3 linked regions of the Mus musculus genome follow. The protein of the gene in region 1 interacts with the protein of each later gene in a biochemical or structural test. Links are inferred from orthologs where the notes say so. Each region holds a gene or a part of one and is shown in the gene's direction. Other genes may lie near its edges.

What was found. The genes of interacting proteins can lie anywhere in the genome.
Region 2: the proteins of Gabarap (region 1) and Atg7 form a complex in vitro, tested with the Homo sapiens proteins (2 studies listed by BioGRID and IntAct, with this or other methods). The link is inferred for Mus musculus from reciprocal best matches to the Homo sapiens genes GABARAP and ATG7.
Region 3: the proteins of Gabarap (region 1) and Nek9 form a complex in vitro, tested with the Homo sapiens proteins (2 studies listed by BioGRID and IntAct, with this or other methods). The link is inferred for Mus musculus from reciprocal best matches to the Homo sapiens genes GABARAP and NEK9.

What each region holds. Positions count from the first base shown.
Region 1 is NC_000077.6:69,989,958-69,994,223, forward strand, and holds the start of Gabarap (gamma-aminobutyric acid receptor-associated protein), read left to right. Parts: upstream 1-1,412; 5' UTR 1,413-1,755; coding exon 1,756-1,845; intron 1,846-2,407; coding exon 2,408-2,486; intron 2,487-2,624; coding exon 2,625-2,743; intron 2,744-4,266. Other genes in the region: Ctdnep1 (CTD nuclear envelope phosphatase 1), read left to right, coding at 20-80. UniProt on the Homo sapiens protein: Ubiquitin-like modifier that plays a role in intracellular transport of GABA(A) receptors and its interaction with the cytoskeleton.
Region 2 is NC_000072.6:114,705,580-114,709,143, forward strand, and holds part of Atg7 (ubiquitin-like modifier-activating enzyme ATG7), read left to right. Parts: intron 1-553; coding exon 554-748; intron 749-1,924; coding exon 1,925-2,125; intron 2,126-3,514; coding exon 3,515-3,564. UniProt on the Homo sapiens protein: E1-like activating enzyme involved in the 2 ubiquitin-like systems required for cytoplasm to vacuole transport (Cvt) and autophagy.
Region 3 is NC_000078.6:85,304,846-85,308,409, reverse strand, and holds part of Nek9 (serine/threonine-protein kinase Nek9), read left to right. Parts: intron 1-420; coding exon 421-480; intron 481-2,043; coding exon 2,044-2,273; intron 2,274-2,785; coding exon 2,786-2,947; intron 2,948-3,564.

The sequences.
Region 1 (4,266 bases):
CCAGTTACTGTCATTTCAGGTTCACTGCTGATGTCCGATCGGTGCTGAGCCGAAACCTTCACCAACATAGGCTCTGGTGACAGCTGCTCCCCCTCCACCTGAGTTGGGGTGGAGGGGAAAGGGAGGGAGAGTTCTTGGGACACCGTCTGTTGCCCTGTCCAATGTGAGGACTGCCTGGGCAGAGTCTGCCCCTCCCACCCCTCTGCCCTGGGAGCCCTACACTCCACTTATGGAGTCTGGATGGACACATGGGCCAGACCGTGAAGCAGCCTCACTCTGGGTTCACACTCCGTGGAAATGCCAGACTGGGACAGGCGAAGGCCTAGAGGAGCCGAAACAGTCTGGTGAAGAGGCAGGACTGGCCAGAGTGACAGACATATCCCAGAGGCTCAAAAGAAGCCAATTCAACTTTGTTGTGATTTGATTTTTTTAAAAACTCTTATACAAAACTGATCTAATTCTTCACTCCTGCTCCAAGGGCTGGGCTGTGGGTGGGGACTGGGGTTTCGGGCCACTGGATCCTCCTCAGACTTGTCCCCCCCTTACTTTTCCTCATTTTTTTTCTTTCCCCAATCCCCCATACCTGTAATCGGCTCCTTTCTTCTTTCCTCTTTTAAACCATGCATTATAACTTTGAAACCAAAGCTGCCCTAGACCCTTCTCTGATGTTTTTGGAAATGGAGGGAACTTTGTTGACATCTGCTCTGTCCTTGAAGCAGAGGGAGAAGATGCTGTTTGGAGTTGGGGGGAAGTGGGATTTAGCACAGGGATAAAGTAGTTTATGTTCAGTGTTCGGCAGGAAAGGCCCCACTGACTGGATGGAGTCCCTGATGGACAGTGGACCAACAACTTTAAAGTAGGATATAGAAGGCTAAAGAGGGAAAACTCTAGAACCCTGGAAGGGCATACAGCTGGAGAAAGGCTGGGCTTGTCTGGGAAGTTGACGTGGACAGGCTAAGAGGGCGCTGCCTACGAGGTGTTGGCACTCCAGCAGTAACCTGGGGCGGAACCCTCTTTCCTGGCACCTCCTCTCCAGAGCCGGGACTACTTTTCGCCACCCGCCACGTGATTCTCCGCCCTTTTCTGAGGTCACATGATTTTATCTACACTCAGAAATGTGTTCCTCCGCTCTGGTGTAGTCCTTATCTTTGGGGCTTTTGCAGTTTCTCTTGGTTCACATAAGCCTGAGCCTTGAGCATTCCCTGGGTGTCTGCAAACCTCTTTCCTTTCTGTCTTATGGTGTCCATATCCACAGCTTGGGTACTACTTTGTTTTGGTGTCAACGGCCACCTTCAGCGTAGAAACACGTCTCATGAAATCCTAGACTTGTAATTGTCTGCCTTTCCCCAACGTAATTTCCGAGAACTGCAGAACTAAATCTCATGACTGCCACTGGGTACCAGTTTCGTCCTCAACTTTGTACTGTGGGAAAGGGTTTTTCAGTTCACTCGAAACAACAGCAACCTTATCTGCGATGTCATATGTGTAACCCACAAGTTGATTCCAAAGCAGTTACGCTGAAGGCGTAAGAGGACCAGGCTACGGGTTGCGCTAGCAAGCTGAGCTAGTGGCGTATGTTAGCAGGCGGGGCCGGTCCGATGGTCGGGGGCGGGGTTGATGAATAGGGAAGTGGCGCAAATTCGTGGATCGCTCCGCCAAGTCTGTTCGTCGAAGCCGCCTCCGCCGCCGCCCCCTGTCCCGGCCCCCCCCCTGGGTTCCCTCAGCCCAGCTCGGTCCAGCCCGGTTCTCGGGAGAATGAAGTTCGTGTACAAAGAGGAGCATCCGTTCGAGAAGCGCCGCTCTGAGGGCGAGAAAATCCGAAAGAAATACCCAGACCGGGTCCCGGTAAGGACAGTAGCCAGGGCCCAGGCTAGCGTCGCTGACGCTGTCGCCACAGGCTATGCTTGAGTCTGGGAAAGCTGAAGTCAGGCTCTGTCTGTCGTGGGGTTAGAACTCTGTTGTCTCTGGTACCAGAGGTCTCTCACCTGAAGTAGAGCTGGGGACTAAGATGTGGACGGGAGAGAGAGATCAGGGTATTTCTCAGAATAGAGGCCTTAGTGAGCTTGACAACCCAGAGTTTCCATGGCCATCCTCCCAACTAGCTAGATTTAATGTAGATTTTTGACCCAAACAAGTCATCCTGTATTCTCTGGTGAAAATAGTTATTGTGATGCGCCGTTCTAGGATCAGTTCTCAATATTTAGGTAAGAGTGAGGCCAGGAGCTTTGGACCTAATGCTGTGTGCACCACGTATATAAGGATAACTAGAGAAATGAGATTCCAGTAGGTTTCAGTAAAAGGGAATATTGTATGTTGAGTTCTTCATCGATATAGCAGCATATATATGTGTATGTATGTATATATATATATATATATATTCATTTTTCTCATTCTTACCTTTTATCAGGTGATAGTGGAAAAAGCCCCCAAAGCTCGGATAGGAGACCTGGACAAAAAGAAATACCTGGTGCCTTCTGATCTTACAGGTGAGGGCTTGACCTGTGGTGCACGTTTCTTTCTGTGGGTGGGCCTGCCAACTCTGTGGGAGGAGGCTTCACCTGGCAGCTGTTCTCTGGAGGCGCCTACGACCTCTGTGACTTGCTTGCATCTCCTGTTTTTGGCAGTTGGTCAATTCTACTTCTTGATCCGGAAGCGAATTCATCTCCGTGCTGAAGATGCCTTGTTTTTCTTTGTCAACAATGTCATTCCACCCACCAGTGCCACGATGGGTCAGCTGTACCAGGTACAGTACCTTGGAAGGAACGGTAGTGTTTGGAGAGGAAAGTAAAGGCCAGCGGTCGCTGCTGGCTAACTTTAAAATGTCAGTACAGCCCTGCCGTGGGATCTTACTAGCGCTGAGAATAGGGAGGAGTATGAACTGGTGGAGTTGTTCTGACTGGGACTTACTACCTAAGTGAGTCTCTCCAAGAGTCCCAGATGTCAAAGAATAGATTGCGTTTGAGGAGTGGTGGTTGTTGTTGTTACTTTCTGTTCGTTTTCTTTAGGAGACAGGGCTTCTCTGTATAATCCTGGCTGTCCTGGAATCCCCTCTGTAGACCAGGTTGGCCTCTAAACTCCCAGAGACCCACTTGTTTCTGCCTCCCTAGGGCTGGGCTTAACAAAAGGTGTGCGCCACCACTGCCCTAAACTTGACACACAGACCAGGCTGACCTCAGACTCAGAGAGCTTCCTGCTTATGCCTCTTGAGTGCTGGTGTTAGAGTTGTTATAAGTCCTCATCCTGAATGGTGACACATACCTTTGATCCTTTAAATCCAAAGCACAGCTGTTTCTGCACACAGTTTTAATCCGATCATCCAGGAGTCAGAGGCTGGTGGGTCTCTTTTGAGTTTGAGTCTATCCTGATTAGTCAGAGATACTTAGTAGTGAGACCCTGTCTCAAAAAAAAAAATAATAAATAAATAAATAAAAATAAAAATAAAACAATCAAAAATAAAAATCCCCAAATTAAAAACCCTCAAAACCACTGAACGTGGGGCATGATCATGCACAGCTTCAGTCCCAGCACTGTGGAAGCAGAGGAAGGTAGAGGCCGAGGCAGCAGTATCAAGTTGGAAGTTGTTGACTACATAGTATAGTGAGTTTGAGGTCAGCCTCTTTTTTTTTTGTTTGTTTTTTGTTTTTTTGAGACAGGGTTTCTTTGTATAGCCCTGGCTGTCCTAGAACTCACTTTGTAGACCAGGCTGGCCTTGAACTCAGAAATCCGTCTGCCTCTGCCTCCCGAGTGCTGGGATTAAAGGCGTGTGCCACCACACCGGGCAGTGAGGTCAGCCTTTTTCTTTCTTTCTTTCTTTCTTTCTTTCTTTCTTTCTTTCTTTCTTTCTTTCTTTCTTTCTTTTTTTTTTTTTTTTTTTCAGAGACAGGGTTTCTCTGTAAAGCCCTGGCTGTCCTGGAACTCACTTTGTAGACCAGGCTGGCCTCGAACTCAGAAATCCACCTGCCTCTGCCTCCCAAGTGCTGGGATTAAAGGCTTGCGCTTCCAAGCCCAGCTTGTTTTTGTTTTTGTTTTTGTTTGTTTTGTTTTGTTTTGTTTTGTTTTGTTTTTTGAGACATAGTCTTTCTGTGTAGCCCTGGCTGTTCTGGAGCTCACTCTGTAGACCAGGCTGGTTTCTAACTCACAGAGTTCTGCCTGCCTCTGCCTCCAGAGCATTGGGATTGAAGGTGTGCACCACTACCACCCAGTCCAAGTCAGCCTTTCCTATAGGAGAGAGATAAAATAGGAATGATTGCTTTTCTTTTATTCCTT
Region 2 (3,564 bases), on another chromosome or scaffold:
TAGTCTGTCACTGGAGAGAACCATGAACCTCCATGGGCCCATGAAGATGTTGCTTTGAGTCTGAGCTCTGCCACTTAGTTCCTGAATTTTCCAACCTGCACCCCACCCCCAGCCATCTTTCCAGTCAGTGTTTTGGCCACTCTGGGAAAGCTGATGTTTTCACACTTGCCTGTGGCCAGTGGCATGCAGAGCATTGAGATGCGGTTTTCATCCTTTGCCTTCTGTGGAAGGTAAATCTCTGGCTGTGCGGCTCCTGTGACTCTGAGTTCCATCCTCAGTGACACACACACTCATGTACACACACACACACACACACAGACACATGTACACACAGAGACACACAGACACATGTGCACACACATTCACAGACAGATACATAGAAACATGCACAGACAGATAGATACACACACACACACACACACACACACACGGCTCAGGGGAATTGGAGAAGGTGCAGAGCAGAGCCCAGGTATTTGAGGAAAAGAGTGGTAGCACTGTGCAAAGAGGAATTCCTATAATGTAACTGATGTAAGTGGGGTCATTGCTTCCCCAGAATGCCAGAGGGTTCAACATGAGCATCCCCATGCCAGGACACCCTGTGAACTTCTCTGACGTCACGATGGAGCAGGCCCGCAGAGATGTGGAGCAGCTGGAGCAGCTCATTGATAACCATGATGTCATCTTCCTGCTAATGGACACCAGGGAGAGCCGGTGGCTTCCTACTGTTATTGCAGCCAGCAAGCGAAAGGTGGAGTGTGTCTTATGCTACCTCTGTCTGGAACTTAATGAGCCACCCAGGAAAGACGTGTCCACAGCCCACCATCCCCCAGGAAGGAGGGTGACCTGTGTGGCCCTGGAGCTCTTTACTTCCTGCCATCAACCTGCAATGGGTGTGCTTCCTAACCCAGCAGTCCTTTGCAAGTGCTAACGTTGGTACATGTGAAGTTCAAGGGCCTGTGATACTTAATTAAGTTTATATAGCCATTCTCAGGAAGCTTTTCAAAGAATGGTAATAAGAAAATGCCATATTACAAGATAAAATAGAATATGAATGTTATGTTACACTTGTATATAATAACATGCATGTCTGCCTTTACCGCCATCACCCCTCATCTGTCTGTCGGTCATTTATCATCCACCTTCTGTCTATCATGTACGACGCAAAGGACAAAGCAGGAAGGGGAGAGGAGGTACAAAAGGTAATACCTCAGAGTTTCTAGACCCCCAGAGCTGCGGTTTTAATTTTCTCTTCTCCAGTGTGCCTTTTCTTGATTCTTTCAAACTTTGTATATAACCAAAAATTTGGGAGAACGACTTAAATCCTAACCAAGAGGAATTCTTAAAGTACAAAGGAGGCTTCCCTTTAAAATCCACATGGTAAGCCAGTTGGTGGTAGTGCATGCACGCCTTTTATCCCAGCACTTGGGAGGCAGGGGCAGGCAGATCTCTGAGTTTGAGGCCAGCCTGGCCTATAGAGTGAGTTCCAGGGCAGCCAGGGCTACACAGAGAAACCCTGTCTCGAAAAAAAGGAAAGAAAAACTCCACATGGTGGGAAAATCATAGCTTACAAACCGTGACCCAGTGAAGCTTTCCAAGGAACTAAGAGGGTGTGGCAGAGTGGTGTGGGCAACCACCAACTTCTGGTCATAGTTCCCTCCTATCAGCTCTATAATCCTGGGACACAGGTGGAACTCTGACCGTTGACATACTCATCTATAAACTGACAATATTTGTAAAGGGTTTAAATGAGATGGTTTATCTTAGCAGTTTATCAAGTCTCTTGCATGTTTCATATGGCTATTAAAGATTAGTTACACTCACATGAAAAAAGAAAGCAATGTGAAGGTAGCCAGCCACATGTGAACTTTGCCTTGGCCTGAGATGTGTTTGTCCTGACTCCTTTTTCTTCCTTCACTGCTAACAGCTGGTCATCAACGCTGCCTTGGGGTTTGATACCTTTGTTGTCATGAGACATGGCCTGAAGAAACCCAAGCAGCAGGGAGCCGGAGACCTCTGCCCAAGCCATCTTGTAGCACCTGCTGACCTGGGCTCCTCACTTTTTGCCAACATCCCTGGATACAAGCTTGGCTGCTACTTCTGCAATGATGTGGTGGCTCCAGGAGATGTAAGTCGGGCTCTGTGTTCCTGCCCTGGCTACACAGTGCTGGTTAAAGACTGTCTAATAAAGAGCATTCTCTAGTTGTGGGGAGGGGAACTGTCCCACTATGAGCCATGTTGGCACTCTTACCTGAATGGCTGAGCCACAGTCACTGCATAAATGTGGCCACAGCCTGTGACAAGCTGATTGAGGAATCTTCCGTGTAGCCAGCCCCCTTGTAGTCTTGCATGCCGTCCTCCGATGATCCAGAGGCCTCCTTTTCCCTGTCACTCTGCAGACAGGGCAGGGCACGGGCTTGTCACACTGTCTGCAGACTGAATTTCAGGTAAACAGCAAGTGTTCTTTTGGGGGTTTTTGTTTGTTTGGTTGGTTGGTTGGTTTTGATTTTTTTTTTTAAATACATAGATAGCCCTTTACAGTAGTCAAGAGCTGCTTGGAAAAAAAATTCTTGTTTATCTGAAATTGACCTATTAACTGTGCCTAGTGTATTTTTATCTGACGATCTAGACAAGGAACCCCCACCCCCATTCTGAGCATGCTCACTGATGGGCCAGTGGAATGTGAGGCAGTCAGCAGTGCCTCTAGCTGGGTTCTGCAGCCTAGTGAGCTTGCAGGAATAGGCCTCTCTCAGGGCTCAGCGGCAGACCTGCTCTGTGAACTGCCCTGTTTCCCCTTCTGCTGTTTCTCTCTCTGGAATGACTGGCTTCTCCCACCATAGAGAAAAGCTGCTATCTCCTTTGGTGTGAGGAAGGAGGCTTAATGATCTTCATAAGGTGCTAGAACATGCAGGTGTCCTATTGGTCAGTGGGTGCCATCCAACAGGGTTGAGCCCCCAAGCAGGGCAGCCATGTCTTTTCATTACATTGAAGTTTTTATAGCATTAAACAACCCTGGGATTTGCCCCTGTTTGGAAGATTAGGAGTAACAGCTTGTGCATGTAGCCAGGTAGTAACAGATGCTTGCAGCTTTGTACTGAAGTCCTCAGAGCACAGCCAGGGTAATGAGGCAGTGCACAGGAACAGAGGACAGAGGGTAGAGATTGTGGCTCCTGCCCCAGTCAGGGTCACTCTGAGCCACTACCTCAGGCAGGACAGTTATCAGCCATTCGTGATTGTTTCTCCCTGTGACTCTGTCTGCAGTACAAGAGAGGTGATGGATTCCAGTTGAGGAGCCATGGCTCAGAGCCACCATGAAGCCATGCTGATGGCTAATGTCTCATCTCTGTCTCTTTACAGTGCACATCCTGTTCCAAGTAGTGCCTTGTTTAATTACACACTGTTTTCTCCCAAGACAAGACAGGGTGAATTTTAAAGCTTTATCTTAGGGAGTTTCAGGTTCACCTAGGTCTGGCTGAATTAGAATATTCTATGCATGTCTGTGGTTGCTTCTCTTTAGTCAACCAGAGACCGGACTCTGGACCAGCAGTGCACAGTGAGCCGCCCAGG
Region 3 (3,564 bases), on another chromosome or scaffold:
TGTTATGTCTACATTTGTGTTTTCTTGAGAAACGTTTAGTAATTCTTTTAAAAGAAAATTTCCAAATGCTTTTTGCATACAGAGTACTTTGAAATTCATGATAAAAGCATGGCTTTTATAAACCTTAGTCCTGCACTGCCCTTGACTAGTTTAATCAGGATCTCTGGGGCCAGGTGTAGGTATTGCTACCTTGTACAGCTTCCGTGCTGCTTCTGGTGAGCACAGAGATAGAGAATTCCCAGTGCAGCACTGAGCACAGTAGCTCAATAGCGTTTCACTTACGAGACTGACTTCTAAATAGTGAGTTCTGAGTTACTGAGGGTCAGGAATGACAGGGACAGTTTCTTCCCTGACCCGTCTTCTTCACCCTTCCTCCCAGTGTCTGTACAAAGTGCTTACCTACTGCACATTTTTCCTCAGAGAAAGTGTTGAATTCCAAGACCATCCGTTCCAATAGCAGTGGCCTGTCCATCGGAACTGGTAAGCAGTGGAGCCCCAGGGACCAGCTTGGTCTTTGGGTTGAGAGGAAAGGTTGTATTTTGGTGAGTGTTGAGGTTTTGGCATTGTTATCAGGGTGACTTCATCTTCTTGCCTGCATCACATACTTGTGATACAGTTAAGAGACTTGTTCCACATTGTAATGGGACATTTGTATTCCTTACCATCCCATGAGCCTTTACTTCCATAGTATTCCAGGCAGTCTAGTCTTTCTATAGCACTTGGGAGGCAGAAGCAAGTGGATTTCTGTGAGTTTGAGGTCAGATGGTGCATAGTAAGACCCTGTCTTCAAAAACCAAACAAAATTTACCTTCAAAATAGGCCCTCTGAAGGAAAAGTCAGTTACTAGCTTTCAACTTAGGAAAATCAGCCTAAACCCTCTGGTAGCTTTCCACCTGTGAGAAGTCATGGATGTGCCATTATTTCAGAATCCATCTTCTTATTTTGGGGAGACTTAAGGGGTGCTTGGCTCAATGCTGAACAACTTTTTACATAAGACAAATACTAGTGGAGGACACTTCAATGTATTTACCTGCCAGAGATGCACTAAGATTTAGAAAATAGACATGAATTCTGGTGATTGTAACACATACCTTTATGTAAGCCTGGCATGGTGGCACATGCTTATCATCCTAGCACTAAGAAGTAGAAATAAGTGCAGTAGTAAGGTCAGAGGTTCAAGGCCAGCCTGGGTGGCATGAGGATCCTTCCTGTCTCAAGAATTAAAATTTGTAAACTGGGTGTTGGTGGCGCACACCTTTGATCCCAGCACTTGGAAGGCAGAGGCAGGCGGATTTCTGAGTTCCAGAGGCCAGCCGGATCTTCAGAGCAAGTCCCAGTACAGCTAGGGCTACACAAAGAAACTTTGTCTCAAAAAGCCAAAATAAGGAGAGAGAGAGAGAGAGAGAGAGAGAGAGAGAGAGAGAGAGAGAGAGAGAGAGAAGAGAGAGAGAAGAGGAAGAAAAAATGTAGGCCCATAAGATGGCTCATGATGAAAGGCTTATACTGCCATCATGACAATTTGAGTTCAGTCCTGGGACTCACGTGATAGAAAAAGAGAATTAACCTTTACAGTACAGTGTATACACACATGCCCACATCCACACACATAATAAATCAATGTGATAACTTAAAAATACTGTGGAGCTGGAAAAACAATCCAGCAGTTAAGAGTGCCTGTTGCTTTTACAGAGAACTGGGGTTTGGTTCCTAGCACTCAAATGACTGCTGACAACCATCTGTAACTCCAGTTGCAGAGGATCTGACACCTTCTTCTGGCCTCCAAGGGCAATGCATGTGCATGGTACCAGACATACATGCAGCTGAAACCACCCATACCCATAAAATTTTTTTTAAAAAATCTTTTTAGAATAATTTTTACAAATTCAAATGCTATCTATGTAAAAACAATTTAGTCTCAAATATTTGTTTGAACGTTCCACTTTGTGCAATTCTAGGACCTTCTGTGGGGGTGAATGAGGTGTCAGATGCTAAATCTCTGTGGCCTAACGAAGCTCTTTCTTTCCTATGCTACACATCTACCAGTGGTTCAGAGCTCCAGCCCAGGAGGTGGCATTGGTGGTGGTGGTGGTGGTGGCGGCGGCGGCGGGGGTGAAGAGGAAGACAGTCAACAGGAATCTGAAACTCCAGATCCAAGCGGAGGCTTCCGAGGAACAATGGAAGCAGACCGTGGGATGGAAGGCTTAATCAGTCCCACGGAGGCCGTGGGAAACAGCTGTGGGGCTAGCAGCTCCTGTCCTGGCTGGCTTCGGAAGGTAATGCCCTCAGAACAGATGCTTCAGATAAGCCTGTGACAGGAGCTAGTGAGGGCTGCCAAGGTCTCAGTTTCTAGTGCCCTACTAATTGAGACAGGAGTCAAGGCTTCACTTTCCCACCCGTGAAGACATCTGTGTTTTGTTTTAAAACGGGGTCTCAGTTTGTAGTCCTGGCAGGCTTAGAACTCAAAGAGTTCCACTTGTCTCTGTTTCCCAAGTGCTGGGACTAAAGGCAGCCTGGAAGGAGGCCTCAGTGCCTTGCCGTCAAGCTTCCTGACCAGCAGACAGTGTGTGTAGAATTGTGTTGGGAAATGAACCAGATACAACTTGCTGAACTTGAGCTAGCATCGCTGAAGTTTGGTTCCAGGTTAGGCAATATATGTGGTCAGCCACCATTCTGTACCACTAGAGGGCGCTGCTGTCACAGCAGCGTGAAAGTGAAAGCTACAAAGACCGTGGGAGAAAGGAACTTGCTGCAGCCAAACTGGTGAGATTCTTTCTTGTCTGCCTAGGAGCTGGAAAACGCAGAGTTCATTCCCATGCCTGACAGCCCCGCTCCCTTAAGTGCGGCGTTTTCACAGTCTGAGAAGGACACGCTGCCCTATGAAGAGCTGCAGGGACTCAAGGTCGCATCTGAAGTTCCTCCGGAGCCCCAGCGTGCAGCAGGAGCCTGGGTAACTGACAGTGGCTGTTTGTGCCTGGGCTCTCCTGGCTTCATCATGTCCTCTCACTTTCGGGGCCAGTGCTGCACTGTCCTGGCAGTTGCCGCTCTGCCTTCCAGCACAAGAGGGTCATTTCTTCCTTTCTTCCTCAGGAGTACTAAGCTGAACCATGAATTTCCAAATGGTCTTTTTGTTGTGACGGTTTGTTTCTTTATGGGGCAGGTTCTGTAGCCCAGCCAAGGATGGAGGATGACCTTTAACCTCTGTTACTCCTGCCTCTATCTCCCTCCCAGATGATGATATAGACATGTGCCACACACCCAGTTATGCAGTGTGGGGTCCAGCCCAGGGTTCTCTACATGCTAAGCAAACTCTTCACAGATAGCCACGTTCCTAGGCTCCAAACTCAGTTTTAATGGCACCATGAGTGTTAGCTGAGCTGTATGTAAGAAGCAATGCCTGGAGTCTGCTGAAAGAACAGCATACAGCCAGCCTGGGTAGAAGTGAAACTGTAAATCAGTTCTAAACCAGAGGGCACCACAGATCTAGAGAAGCCACGGCATCGTCACATGACTTTGTGGGCTGTTTAACCCTTTGCAGCTACAGCTCTGACGTCATAGCACAAAGCA